2 linked regions of the Styela clava genome follow. The main gene of each other region encodes a partner of the protein of the gene in region 2 in a complex. Links are inferred from orthologs where the notes say so. Each region holds a gene or a part of one and is shown on either strand. Other genes may lie near its edges.

Region 1 (7,754 bases), on a different chromosome or scaffold from region 2:
GCCCTGTAGCATAAATATGAAGGTATATTGAATCATTTGGTCAGGACTTAGAGTAATAGCATGGTTGCACCCTTACCTCTATGAGCAAACAACGAAACACTTTAAAGAGCTGATTGCCTTATGAAATGCAATAAAATGAATATTCTTGGCATTTTTTGTAACATGATTAAAGACAAGGGCTTTAAATTTACAATTATTCATAGATACACTCACCTTCCTGTTACCCATAAAAAGAATAGGCCATCATCAGATAGATCTTGTATTCTTAATGCTCTCATTTCATCATCTTGCATTGTACCATATGGTAACTCCATGTGAATATCCCATGGCGGATCAGCCATTATTACAGAAAATTTTCCAAGCACTGACATATCAAGATATCTGATGTCACATGTTACCCACTAAAATGAACAAAAAAGACTTGGGAGGACAAATGCCACTTTCTGTTATATTGTCTATGTAAACTTCATAAAATAAATTTTGATCACAAACAGGATTAATATAACTGTCATGTACGATTAAGTTTGCTCGAGACGAAACCAACCTGTGGAGGAAGCATTTTCCTTTGCAAATAATCTTCATCGGATGCAAGTTTTGGCAATAGTTTATTATCTTCATTTGACTCGGTTCTTTTCTTTCCTCTTTTTTGATACCTTGGGTCAAGTTCTGTCCCCTTGTAATCAATAGTATAATGAACATATTTGCATGTATCCATATGAAAACAAGTGTTGAGGAAAGAGCAGTCTCCCAGTGATTCATCTGAATGGAAAAATAATCTTAAAATTTGTATGGGAAATAGATTTCTCAATCGCCATCATTTTTGTTATAACCACTATCACGCAAAATTATCTCTGTCATTATATAATTACTGTAAGCACCTGTGTGAGGCTTTATCAACTTCTTGAAGTGCAATTTACTGCATGAATAATTGGATTTCCGTTGCCGCATACATTCAAACCGTGTACCATGAGGACAGAATTCTTTAACCTGTATGCAGAATTTTTTTTTAATCTAATCACATGTGCCTCAGTAGTAAAAAGAGTATAGAATTTGAAATTTACGGAAGACTTTGGTATATGTATGTAAAAATTCAGTACATATCACAGCAAACTGCTAGTTTTTACTAGAAACCTGCCACAAAGAATTCCAGCTTGATTCTACGGGTGAAACAGTATTTGAAAATGTGACTTTGTTTAGCAATGCGGTATATTAGATTTCGCCCCATTGGCTGACTAAGCATTTGCAGGATTAAAACAATTATAAATCAGTATAGTATTGAAATATAAGATTTCACTAGAGCCATTGGATTAACCCTCCCACCTACGTTTTAGGAGTCAAAAGCCAAACCAATCAAAATAATAACAGTTCAATAACTCGATATGCACCTGTGAACCACCAAGAGTTCGGAATTTTTCCGCTAACGATAATTCCTTAGTGGAGGCAGTGCCAAGTAGTTCTTGAATTTCCTCTGCGATTCGTTTTGTGTCCTGTTCTTTCGCTGATTTAGTTGACAGCAATTCTTCTATATCATCCAAGTCTTTCTGTTCATTATTTTTTCCAGACTCATTTGTTTTTGAGGATTTTTCTGGCCGTCTCGTATCACTTCTGTGCTTTCGGTTGTGATTTGAATCAGACGAGTGGCGCTTCACAGCCTGTTTTTGCTTTACCAGGGAACTGTCTTGATTTTTTTCTCGTTCACTAGTTTGTTTCTCAGAGGCAGACATGTTTGATCGAATATCTTCTTCTGTATAAATTGGTTCTTTCATTTCTCCAGCTACTGCAGCAAGTTTGGCATGGCTCACAGACAAAACGGTTATTTTTGAATCAGTTTCGTTTGACTTATCTACACTTGATTGAGAGTATTCAATTTCAATAAATCGCTGCGCTTCTTGCTTGTTCAAGAGAAGTTCAACTTGAGGCAAAGTTAAGGATGTGGTCTTTGGGACGCTTTGGAGAATCTGAAAATAAAAATAAATTGTATCGATATACATAAATAAATCGAAAGTGAAACAACCTTGCTAGAAGAAAGTCATGGGAATATGGATTTAATATTAACATTATATAGTATTCAAATACACAACTTTTTCGAATTTTCACCTTTGCTGCACGTTTCTCTAAAATACCATACCTCTGTACCTTTGTATGTATAAAAGTTTAAAAACTTATGGCATTCTCTAGCGCTTCAAATACTGAGACTTTTAGAAATATATAGAGGCAAATAAAGTATCATGTTCACACCTTATTGAATCCAGACATTATATTGAGAGAATGCATTGGGAAAGTGAGTGAATGGTGACATAGATATTGCTGAAATTTTTTCTCAATTCCTGGGTCAATAACGTCAACATTTTCCTCTGTATCTGCCACATCTGATGAATTGCTTACTGTCGATGCTGCAGTAGAATCTGCAGTCTGTGCCAAAATTTCTATAAAAACAGACAAACAAAATGTGTAAAATTCATGAAAATAGTAATCACTCAAAAATATCCATCAAGTCTTGGAAGGAAAACACACCTTTATGGCCCTGTCTTCTTCTTTGTATTCTTTCCCTTAAACTTTCCTGTTTCATTTTCAGCTTTTGTAAATTTGTCCAAGTATCAGAAGACATTGTTCTTGATGAGAGAGAAGATCCACAATGTTATTAAAATAGCCAGAAGGTTTATGCTAGTGGATAAGAACAACTAAATAATTCAAAAGATATAGTTTGAGGCAGTGTATAGGACAATTGCACCACTAGCAAGCAAGTTCAAAACATATGAAATTATTGTGTATGGACATCTTTGAATATATGCTTTATATTCTTCATAATATTACTGGGAATTGTGGTGACAGCACTCTGTACTTGAGGTCTGATATTCCATGGTATAAGTGGGGAAAATCTATGGGATTTTAATAATTCTAACTAACTGTGAAATGCATAAGTGGTTAAATGTCGTCAATGCGTAAAAAGGAAGGTTCGTAACAGAAAAAATCGAATGTGTTTGGGTTTATTGCATATGTAAATTGGCGATGAAACAATGCGGTTTGGTTGCAACGTGAAATGACTTTGATTTCCCTGCATGTACATATGACCACACGCAGCAACATTGAAATTTATCTCAGAATGTTAGTACGGTGATTCGTGTTCACTGCGTGAATCGACAAATCGCGTTCATAAAACTACAAGCGCACTCACGCCAACTCAGCGCACATCTGAACGAAAACATAGGTTTAAACTCAGACAAAAGACTCTAACTTTTTTCTCGCGACACCCGTTTGCGTAACACAGGCAAAGAAAAAGGTAAAGAAGCTAAGTCTGTGCGCATGCGCAGACGGAAATTGTCGGACTTGTTCTTTTTTTTGAACGCCATTACTGTCTTCTGGTTTGCCTTGTGTGGTTCTTCGTTTGTCTGCTTTGTTGGTTACGACTCCACTGCCTTGAAGTGTATAACTACGAATTTGGTTTCATTACTCATTGGAGTCGTCATTCAGTTTTTGAATCAAGGGCAACGACCAAGAAAAAAACTTTGCGAAGTCATTTTCTATTGATTCTACAGACAAGACAGACGCTGATCGTCTACTATTCACTGTTAATATTAGGTAAGTTATTCGAAAATAGCCCTACTGTCAGTACCCGTACTTTATTAGCAAGGCTGTGAAATAGCATATGTTATTTCTATATTTTTAAATGTTTTGTTACTTTTTAATGGGTTTATGACTGCATTAGCAATGACTGAATGATCTTTCAATTATAAAATTTAAAATCCTTTTTAGTTTGCTTTCCATGGAACTCGCACACTCCTCAACAACACTGAATGGTTCATCACCACAGAAATTACATTCGCCTCACAAGCATAAGCATCACAAGGTTGAATTTATTTTTGATATATTGTTCTCTAAATTTTGTTTGTTTTTAATAATTAATATAATTCTTTAATGGGACTGGAAGATATTTAAGGTAGGGTATGTAATAGAAGAGTTTTGAAATATATGAAATTGATTTGAAGTGACAAGCTCAGATTTAATGATATCTTTCAATTCATGAATACCTACTTCAATATTCTATAAAATGAGTAAACCCAAAATAAATAAAATATGCAGCGAAATCAAATGAAATCCAAATCAATTGGAATATTTTATGGCTGTGATATATCACTGCATGCCTTATTAGATAATTGTATTAAGAAATAATCTAGACAAGTTGTCCATGCACCTTATTAATAATAGTCATTTATTTTGTTCAGGATAAAGATCGTAAGCACAAATATGTACTTGATTCAAATGGAAAACCAAAAATTGGTCCTGATGGGAAAAGAATAAGAATTAAAAGGGAGCACCGACCAGAACACCATACTGCCAATCATGCTGGAGAGTAAGATCTTTTAAATTGAGTTTCTTGCTGATGCTTTGTATTAATTGAATCCAGTAAATTATATCACTCATTGCATTATTAGTTGAATTATCTGCAATCAATTCTATCTCGTGAAAGTAATCTTATCTTGGTCCATGATCGTCATATAAATTTTTAGTGTTTTCTTCCCTGTTTATACTTTTCTTTTTTCATAGAGTTGAATTTGGTTTTGATATTTGCCAATAAAGGGGTTGGCACTTTCCTACCCTGCCCTCAATCATATCTTGACTTGCAATTATTTAACTCAGATTTTGTTTTCTTTTCAGTCAAGGTGTTATGCAAGTTAAAACAGAAAGAATGGATTCTGGAGAGGTTAGTAATAGGGGCGGGCAACCAAAATTTTATTTGGAAAACACTAAATTGTATTTGGCATTTTATTTTTCCAATTTTTGTATTAAATTGCAATTTATTTATATCATACCGTAACAACTTTGGAATTCATTTTTAGCCTCATCAGAATTCAGGGGTTACTAATCATGGAGATAATGAAGAAATCAGGAGGTATGTGTTGAAAATTCATTAACCAGAATGATATATGTCCAGATACATCAAATATAATTTTCATGTCAACAATTATAGAATGAAGAAGAAGTTGAAAAAGGAAAAACATGCCAAGAAACGAAAAGCTGAAGAAAATGATGTGAAGCCAAATATTGTAAGTCAGGAAATGGTCATTCGATATAGCCTTAGTCTGTTTTACGCTTAACATTACCGAAATCTCAGTTTATTTTATTGCCCGGCTCCTTCAGTATTGTAACATTGTACAACGTTGGAAGAATTGATGAGAAGTATTTGGTTTAGTATTGATTTGATATTGATTATTGATATATTTTAAAATAAATGTTATGTCATAATGAATTTTCTATTTTAGAAAAAAGTTAAAACGAAGGCCGAACCTTCCTCTACATTGTCTAGTCCGACAAAAAAGGTGAGTGTTCAATTGTAGACTAAAAGCAACGTCTTTATATGGTCCAGAATGTTAGGTTCATTTTTCTATGGCTCTCTCATATTGGGGGAAATGCATTATGGCATACATGTGTATAAAAAAGGTAATGTCAAGGATTGGTACAATATTTAAATTCTGTTAATTTCTTCAAGAAAACAAAGAAAATGAAAGAAGAGGAGGAAGCAGCTTCAAAGTGGAAGTGGTGGGAAGAAAAGAAGGATACTGATGATGGAATTAAATGGAAAACTCTTGAACACAAAGGACCAATGTTTGCCCCTGAATATGAACCTCTGCCAAGTTCTGTTCCTTTCAAATATGGCGGTAAGAAAGTTTGGAAGCAACAACTCTGCAGCAAATCATAGCCATTATCACATATATTTTATTTTTAACCTCAGTTTGTGCCAATACAATAAGCAATACTTGATGTTTCATCAATGCTTTTGTAGGGAAAGTGATGCATCTCGAACCAGAAACAGAAGAGGTAATGACGTTCTATGCTAAAATGTTGGACCACGATTATACTTCGAAAGAAATCTTCAATAAAAATTTTTTTCATGACTGGCGCAAGGTTTGTATTGAATACTTTTAAGATAGATGGATAGATCAAATTTAGATTAGGAATTCATGCTTCTATCAGCTTTTCAAAGTTTTATAATTTAGTGAATTTGAGATAGTCAACTTTACTTTGATAATTCTCTCTTGTTTGGGTAATTTACACCTGACTATGTATTATTGAATTGATGACTTTTGGTGAATTAGATAATGGAGATTGACAGATGACTTTTGGTGAATTAGATAATGGAGATTGACAATTGCATTTTATTTTTTTCAAGGTTATGACCAGCAAGGAAAAGGAGATTATAACAGATCTAGGTAAATGTGATTTTCGGGCCACAAATGAATATTTTAAAATGAAGTCGGAAGAAAGAAAAGCGAGGTCAAAGCAAGAAAAGCAGGTTAGTTGTCTAATTTTGTTTATATAATCGGACCTCCAGGAGTATGCGCGCCAAGATGGCGCAATACCTGAACATAGTATGTGTTTACCGGCTAGGATTCAGGTTGTGCGACATCTTGGTATGCATACTTCTGCAGTACCATAATATAATCACTATATTGAATGCTTTTAATGATCAATTCTCTTTATTTCATCACAGAAAGAAAAAGAAGAAAAAGATTTGATTCAAGAGGAATATGGATTTTGCATGTGGGACAATCATAAAGAAAAGATTGGAAATTTCCGATTAGAACCTCCTAGTTTGTTTAGAGGACGCGGGGACCATCCCAAAATGGGTAAAATTAAAAAAAGATTGCAAGCCAAAGATATCATCATAAATTGCAGCAAGTAAGTTTGTTTAGTCCCATTTACAAGCAAATTTTGGAATTCAAGGATCATGTAAATGATAGAAATATTTTGGTTGTTAGAACGATCAAGTGAAATATATTCAGCTGTTAATCTGTGTTTTAATATAAAAAATAAATTTCATGAAACTTTTTATAATTCAAGTTGTTCTCTTGTATGCAGAGGTTCCAAAGTTCCATCACCTCCTCCTGGACAGAAGTGGAAGGAGGTCAGGCATGACAACACTGTGACATGGTTAGTATCATGGACTGAAAACATACAAGGACAGAATAAATACATCATGCTAAACGCTAATTCAAGAATCAAGGTGATTTTTTTGCATTAAAGTCTTTAAAGAAAATATAATAGGTTTTTCTGTGGAATTGAGAGTATGCATATTTGATTATAATGCAAATTTTCACTTTGTGATTTTGTTTGTCTTTGTGATTATAAGTTGTTCTATTCTAAGTGTTGTTTACTGATAAGAATGTTTCCTATTGTTTTGGTTGTATTCAGCTTTGTGTAGTAAAGGGATTGTTATTTTTATAGGGTGAAAAAGATTGGCAAAAATACGAGACTGCCAGAAAACTTAAAGATCGCGTCGATAAAATCCGACAAGACTATTGGAGAGACATGAAATCACAAGAAATGGCAATAAGACAACGTGCTGTGGCTCTATTTTTCATCGACAAGGTTTGTGTGTGGACAATTAAAATTTTGGAGTTTTTATGCAATAATTTTGATTCTGATATATTATCCTTCATTTAGTTGGCGTTGAGAGCAGGTAATGAAAAGGAAGAAGGCGAAGGTGCGGATACTGTCGGTTGTTGCTCACTCCGATGCGAACACATCAAAACCCATAAAATGCTTGACATGCAAGAATATGTGATTGAATTTGACTTTCTCGGAAAAGATTCAATCAGATATTACAACAAGGTTCCTGTTCCTAAACAGGTATTGTCATATTATTAAAATTAAGATGCTAAAGTCTACTCACTCATTACTCAAATTTAGACTTCATTCAGTAAGAATCGTGATGATTTCAGTCAAAAAACTGTGCAGCAATATAAAGAGATTGA
Region 2 (7,515 bases):
CTGTTGTGGACACTGTAACTTTTTCCTTCAGAAGCCGGAGACAGAGATCGCCTTCTAGGTGATGGTGCTGCATCATACTGAAAAGAGGGTGATCTTTTGCGATAGTTTGGTTCACGTTCTCTAGTGTCAGGAACCGGCAATGGTGAAAGAGTCCTTGTCTTTTTTTCTCGTCTCTCATACACCGCTTCAACAGTAAGTCGTCTGTCATACATCACCAAATGTCCTTTAGCATTCTTTGCATCATTTGCACTACCAGATGATCTGAATGTTGCATAAGCCACACGATCTCCTCTGTTGTCTGTAGAAACCTTGACAGAAACATCTCCAAATTTTTTGTATTCGTAATATAGACTTTCTTCTATGTCGACATCAGATATCTGTGAGCTGAAATTCTTCACCAACAAGACTTTGTAACTTCCTCGACTCGGTTCTCTTCCTTCTCGTCTTCTATCATCACGATGAGGTGGTGGTGTAAATCTCTGCGAAGGTGAATATGAATCTTCGCTCTTCCCATAAGCCGAATTTCTCCTCCCAACATTCCGATCATCTCTGTGATGCGGGCTATAAGAGATAAGATACAATGTTTCATAAACCTAACCTATTATTCAGCCAGTAACTTCACAGAAAGACACCTTTCTCAATATCTCAGTGTTACGAGCTAGGTAATGGTTTTTATTAGGTGTTTATGCATTTTTACATCGTCTCAAATTTGTTACCAACGAATACATTTTTCAAACTTCCACAGTTATCATATTGCATACTAAGGTGCAATAATTTGTTACCAGTGAATACATTTTTCAAACTTTCACATTTATCATATTGCATAGTAAGGTGTTCATAAACCTTTATCTCAATCATAAGCGCACACACTGCAGAAAACCCGTTTCCACAGCAAAACAGGGAAGTATAATTTCAATACTCCATTTGCTTAGAATTAAGGTGTTCATAAACCTTTTTTCCAGATAAAAGAGCACTGTGCAGCATAACAACTGCTCACAGTAAACAGATATAAACCTTTTTTATTCAATATTCCAGCTCGTTGAGCATATTAAACAAATTTAAGCAGAGATAATTCCCAGTGACTTTGATTGGTCAGTAAATATATCACTTATGCGCTTTGAGTATGAAGTGTAGAGTACTTTCAGCGTAGTGCAGAATACACAATAGAAGTATACACATTGCTGATGACTCTTTGGTAGCAAAACAAATCTTCTTACACAACATTCACTTTTTGCTAAATATAAATATCTCCAAAGGGACGTATACAAGAAAAACAAGTTCTGTCATTTGAATATGCATCACTTTATATGTGATGAACAAATTCATTAATCTAGAAAAAGCAAAAGCTGTATCGATCATAACATATAATGGGTATATTGTTTGTAATTGTGATCGCTATAGGACTTAGAAGCATCAATAGACATGATGCTATATGAGCATGTTTTGTTATATTATTGAATAAATAAGTGTAAAAGAATTCATTAATCCCAAAAATTCGAAATTTTTACTGTAATAAAAAATCTTTATTCGTGGTGACGTATAGATAAAATGATACCAACAATACCGTTCTGGATAATGAATTACTTTTAAAAAGCTTAAAAATCGTATCTGCTTCAACTATTGATTTTCTCATATTGGGGGGTATGTTGGCCATGTAGCCTATCTAGTTTTGATATATAAAAATTGAAAACCTAAATATAAAATTACACCATTCCTACCAATACCAAATCGATTCAGTCAAATTCCTCAATTTTCTATATTTGTAAGTTGGTTGCTTTCATATCATATCTATGACTGCGAATGATGTTTCTTAGTCATTGAACTACCATATATATTTCAATTTCAGCCCCAAAGGACAACCTTGTTGAGTAATTTTCAATAAATTTTAGAGAATACTAAATAATACATTTTGAAAAACCAGGAAGACCAAACTTAGATTTTTGTTTTGACTCCTTGGATATTATGAGCCAAATATAATATTGTATACTACCTAATTCTTGTCTGGTTAAAATTATGAAAATTAGTCAAGCGTGATTAATTCATCACATCAAAACAGCACAATATCTATTTGGTTCAAACAATTTAGTCATTTTGGGCAAATTCAGTCTGCCAAAAACAACATTATCATGGAATTCTGCAAATTCTTGAAATACATTTTGAACCACTTTATAATATTCTGGAAATATTTGACTTTTGTACCGTATTGCCGCAAGAGATTTCAGGATTTTAGAAAAAAATATCAGATTCAATATTTAGACTACAATTCTGCAATTAGATTCCGAAAAAAATATTCAAAAACGTACCCAAATGCGAGAGGCCAAAGGACCAATTAGGAATAGCATCTAACCGAAATATTTATTATATTTATATGATTACAGTTAATGACAAGCAAATAATGAAATAGATAAGGAATGGGCCAATAAAAACAAGATTTATTCAAGTACCGTAATATGAAACCTGAAGTCAGCGATGCCTAAACTTCACCCAGACAATTAGGATATGATTTTCACATCTATCTCGCTCATTTCAGTATTTACCCTGCAGTCTTGGCAGCCTGGGGACAATAATCAATCAGTCAAAAGACTGATACCGGTACGGTACCGTACCGGTACCAACTGACCAAGCAGTGTGGTAATGTACCGGTATACAATATTCTACAGAACCAACATCTGAACATTCTGGTTTGCATCAATAGCAACGCTCAGACGCTTGATATGGAAAACATTAATGATAACAAAAAAGAAGCTGAAAGCCATAATTCAGCAATAATATTCGAACCTGCTGTGCCGGCTGTAAGTTCGGCGGGTTGGACTACCATTTCGTACTTTCGAGCGTTTATTTCTGGAAGGACTGTCTTTTTCACCCTGTCGCTTCATTGTTAGAGCCACGTCAAGCAATATTTAAGCAAACTCTATAAAGGTATGACCAACAAAGTAATTTCAAGAGCGCGTGTAGAAGACAACGTAACCACGCCCGGAAGCAAGCGAATGTCACTTTGAGATCCACTGAAGTCACTTATTTATGGTTGCCAGATAAAGGATTGAAATCAACAGTAGAGTAATACCCTAAATCCCAAAATTCGCATATTGTACATTGAAAAGTCACAATTTACTGGTCACAAAAATAATGAATTGCATGAATGAATATTATCATATACAATAAAATAAACAAATCATGAAACAAAAACTAAATATATCGGTAACTAATTTTTATTTATTTTTTGTTTACTATCAGTATGTAATTTATCGCATTAATAATTCAAATATTTTAGGTGAGTGAACACGTCGTTGTCGTTAGTCGTTGGTGAACATGTACCAATCATTGAGGTGTATATACCCTCAATGGTACCAATTCTAATTGAAAAACCTTCTATCCAATGGCGTGCTTAGAGGGGGGCGAAGGGGGCAACCGCTCCGGGCAGCACGTTGTAGGGGGCAGCAGAACCAAGCTGTAGAGTTTGCGTTGAAAGCTGACATTATGTGTTTAGTAGGGATAGGCCAGGATTCGGATCCGGACTCGGATTCGAGTTAAATCCAGGCATTTTTTTGACTCGGATCCGATTTCGAGTCCACGTCATTTTTACTGAGTCTATAATCAATTCTGTTTTTATTAATTTACGCGTTTATTTGTAATTTTGCCTCGACGAATCTTACATACCTTAACCCTTTCTATGCGATTTTTATTTTTTATTAAATAATCGTATTTGCTACGCCGATTTTATGAATTTGTACCCCCACAACTAATCGATCGACTAACGAAAAACTAATGATCCTCTGCTGCCCACTGACGGCTCGTTGGAAAGCTTATTTAAAGAGCTTGCAATTAGCAAAAAAAAAAGTTTTTTCAAAAGTGGTGGTCTGAGTCACAAACCGGATAGAAAAAAGGCTTTTTTTTCTTGGGAGTTGAAACTTCAAACCGTGATAAAAAAAATAGAAATATTCGCTAAATCCTTTACTGTTACCACTTCGTGGTTAGCAAACAATAGCATAATATTGCTGTAGCAATTTCGTGATCTAACTCAAAATACTTTGGTAGATGGAAGGGATAATATGTCTTCTATTACCACCCAAAAAACACCGAAATTTGCATAAATTTCAAAAACACTCCCTCGTTCCGCCGCAAATAAAATTCCCGTCGTAAACGAAAGCGAGATTTACCGTCGCTTATTTTAATCTCGAAGAAGACTTCTTATCAATAAACTAAAACCCGGAAAAACTAGACCAACAGTTTGCGACCGATTGCTAAATAAAACTGTGGAGTACATCAACGTACCCGCCGCAATCTAGCTTAGGGTTGCCATACCATCCGGAATTTAGGATTAAATTTTGCGTCCTGAAAGAATATAAAAAAAATGCCCAAATGTCCGGAATTTTACTGCATCTGCAATCGTACTGTGAACACTGCTAATGCAGAACATTGTTTATTAACTAGGTAAAATTCAAGGTCAGATCTGTATCAATATCGCCCGTGTGCATTATAAACACTTCTAATAAAAAACGACGACAAATATCCAGAAAATATAACACAAGTTTAAAACTATTGACCGATTATAACAATGATGTTGCGCCAGGCGCCTTCAAACTATCTATCCTTTTTCGTATACATGTGGTACACAATAAAATATGTGTTAGCGCAATATTTGTGATTCGCGTAAAATTGAAACATACTCTGGATCAACCCAATGGGGAATCTCATCAATACCTCTTTTAAATCGAGTTTATTACATGCAATCCTTTCTCTAAAAAGGGAGCAATGAAAAGCATGGAAGCTTAGAACGTTTACATGAACTACTAAATTGCAAGCAGATGTACCACATTGTATTGACGACGAGTGGCATTTCTCTACCATTTGTGCACGTGACATGGTAAATTTACGGCTAGAAATATCTGAAATTATGGGAAAGCATTGTAGTCAAAACTCAAAAGCTTTTTATTTTTTCATATTGACATGTAAGAATTTCTGAATAGCCGCCCAGAATTGACGCAAGGTGGTGGGCTGGAAATCCAGTTCACAGCCAAGGCGCACATTGACCCACGTTTACGTTTGTATTAAGACCGCAAAAAAAAAGGAAAAATGTGGTTCTAAAATGGTTCAACAGCTATTTACGAAACCTTTAGGCAAAAAATATGAGCTACGATCAGTGTCCCCTCTAAAGTGTGCGCGCGCACACAGCTTTCAGGGGCCGCGCACACGCATAGATTTACTGCGCACAGACGTAAATCGATGTAATGTAACAATGTTCTCGGTTGGCAGGTTGAGAAAGTTTGTTGTTGGCCCACTTATTACCCGGTTAGAACGTCAAAATTTCTTCATTGGTTTTTGCACAAATATTAGTCATTTCCAAAAAAGTGCGCACACACCAAAATTTCTGCGCACACATAATACAAAAAATTAGAGGGAATATTGGCTACGATGTATGTTTTAGAGATGTACCGATGTATCGGTATCGGCAATATCGGTAATTTTTTTGGTATCGGCCATGTATCGGTATCGGTTAGATTAAGACCGATATTTCCGATATATTCACCTTTTTGATATGGTCCAGAGTGTTTTAAAAGATAAGTTGGAATACTACTTTTTAATTTATTTTTTGTCTGGAGAGATCGTGAGCTATGAGCCATACATGTCCCTACCCCCGCGAGAGAATAGGATTCACGTGTTTTAGCTATTTATCAGCCAAACTAGCTCAACTAATTTGGCTATTTTCGCTGTCAAATTTTCATATTGACATTTTTAATATTACATAGTTTTTATGAAGAAATATATCAACACAGCACATAACAAAAACTAGGCGCCCAGTTTTAAATCATACAGTGGAATTGGGGTCCTTATTAACGGCACATGGACTTTTGGCACGGGTATAAATTCTGACTGTTTGTCGTCAAGTACGAGTGTCATTTAGTCCGTCGACATCGATAAACTAAATTCCGACACAATTATCCCACTACACAGGTATTAATTTTAATTCTGTTTAACTACACAATTTCTTTATAGATATATTGACATGACCGCCTAGCCCTAGACTGTCTCAAAATAAAGAAATTGTAAAATATTATAAAATTAGTAAAGTAAAAAAATATCCTCGACGGTTATAGGTGGGCCTTCTTTTTGTCGGTGCTGTTTGTTATTCTTTCATGTTGGCGTTGACGATTACGATTAGCCACTAAATAAAACATTTATAAAATACTTTTAATTTGAACGTAGAACGGCGGCGCTAGAATGTGTGGGCGATATTCGATATTCGTTTAAACACGAATAACGATATTCGAAGGTCGCGATATTAACATTAAATTCAAATTGGACATCCCGGCTTATGAGTTTTCTAATTGAACACCGAGATTACTAGCGTTACTGTACAATGTATCTTAATCAGTTAAAGCATATGGATACTAAACATTAATTTCATATTATGTGATATATCTTTTTTTTTTCGATCTGAAATAATGTGTACTATGAACAACGCTCAAAGACTATTGTTTTAACCCGTCTGCCCTACTCAGCACACCTAATTAAGTAATAATTACATAGTATCGGTATCGGTAATATCGGCCCTTTTGTAGTATCGACGTATCGGTATCGGCGTTTTTAGCTGGTATCGGATCGGTATCGGCGACAAAAGTGGTATCGGTACATCTCTAGACTATGTTTGTGAGCGCACGATGCTTTAGCATGGTCAAAAACGTGTTTTTCTCTCTTTATGTTGTGACGTCACGGACTCGGAGGATTCGAGTCCATGACCTATTACTCGGACTCGTCGAATCCCGGAGTCGTCCCATCCCTAGTGTTTAGTATTGTTTGGCTGACTGTGGTGATGATGAGTTGACCCCAGAAAAATTCTTCCTATCTTTTACAATTGCAACATTTTTGGTGCTCATTGTAAAGGTGGCTACACGAGTACTTAAACTATTTAATAATTTCTGAAACATTACCAAAAACTAAAAAATAACATGCAAAAACGCGAAAATGAGGTATAGTTTACAACCATGGCAGAAAATCTGGATGCGAAAACGTCTACTTTTTCCAACTTTTTGCATTGCATGTTGTTTATTACTCGAAATTAAAAAATTAATAGCTAGTTGCAAACGATCTTTCTCAAAGTTGAATGCCAAATTAGCGCCTTTCAAGTTTAGATCTGATTAGCATCGAAAGAAATTCTTGACAAGCGAGGTGGAGGAGGCTGTCGTTCAGACATTTGTTGACAGCAAAGTAGCCACTGGACATAGAAATAAGTGACTTCCATTTTGTTAATGAGTTCCATTTTATACGAGCGAGTTTATTGCTCAGTTTGATGATTTATTCAATAAAACAAACGTTTTTCTCTTACTTGACCTTTAATTTATTTATTCTCATGTATAACAACATATATAATCTGTTTAACCCCCAAAATATTATTTGAGTTAGGGATAAGGGGCGTCATAGTCAGAAACTCGCCCCAGGCAGCAGAAAAGTTTGGCACGCCTCTGCTTCCATCTTATATTCTGTACGTTTTGAACGCGGTCTAATGTTTTTGTTTGC

The links. The genes of interacting proteins can lie anywhere in the genome.
Region 1: putative RNA-binding protein 15B (region 2) and N(6)-adenosine-methyltransferase catalytic subunit METTL3-like share a complex: the UniProt entries of both Drosophila melanogaster proteins name them as parts of the WMM complex. The link is inferred for Styela clava from reciprocal best matches to the Drosophila melanogaster genes nito and Mettl3.

Annotation. Positions count from the first base shown.
Region 1 is NC_135263.1:8,553,744-8,561,497, reverse strand, and holds the start of N(6)-adenosine-methyltransferase catalytic subunit METTL3-like, read right to left. Parts: upstream 3,019-7,754; 5' UTR 2,609-3,018; coding exon 2,515-2,608; intron 2,427-2,514; coding exon 2,239-2,426; intron 1,959-2,238; coding exon 1,386-1,958; intron 988-1,385; coding exon 879-987; intron 760-878; coding exon 545-759; intron 402-544; coding exon 214-401; intron 4-213; coding exon 1-3. Other genes in the region: DNA topoisomerase I, mitochondrial-like, read left to right, coding at 3,764-3,847, 4,224-4,351, 4,657-4,702, 4,839-4,891, 4,970-5,045, 5,262-5,318, 5,489-5,657, 5,783-5,904 and 5 more. UniProt on the Drosophila melanogaster protein: Catalytic component of the WMM complex, a complex that mediates N6-methyladenosine (m6A) methylation of mRNAs, a modification that plays a role in the efficiency of mRNA splicing and is required for sex determination.
Region 2 is NC_135258.1:21,866,988-21,874,502, reverse strand, and holds the start of putative RNA-binding protein 15B, read right to left. Parts: upstream 3,012-7,515; 5' UTR 2,877-3,011; coding exon 2,779-2,876; intron 562-2,778; coding exon 1-561. UniProt on the Drosophila melanogaster protein: RNA-binding protein that acts as an associated component of the WMM complex, a complex that mediates N6-methyladenosine (m6A) methylation of mRNAs. M6a modification plays a role in the efficiency of mRNA splicing and is required for sex determination.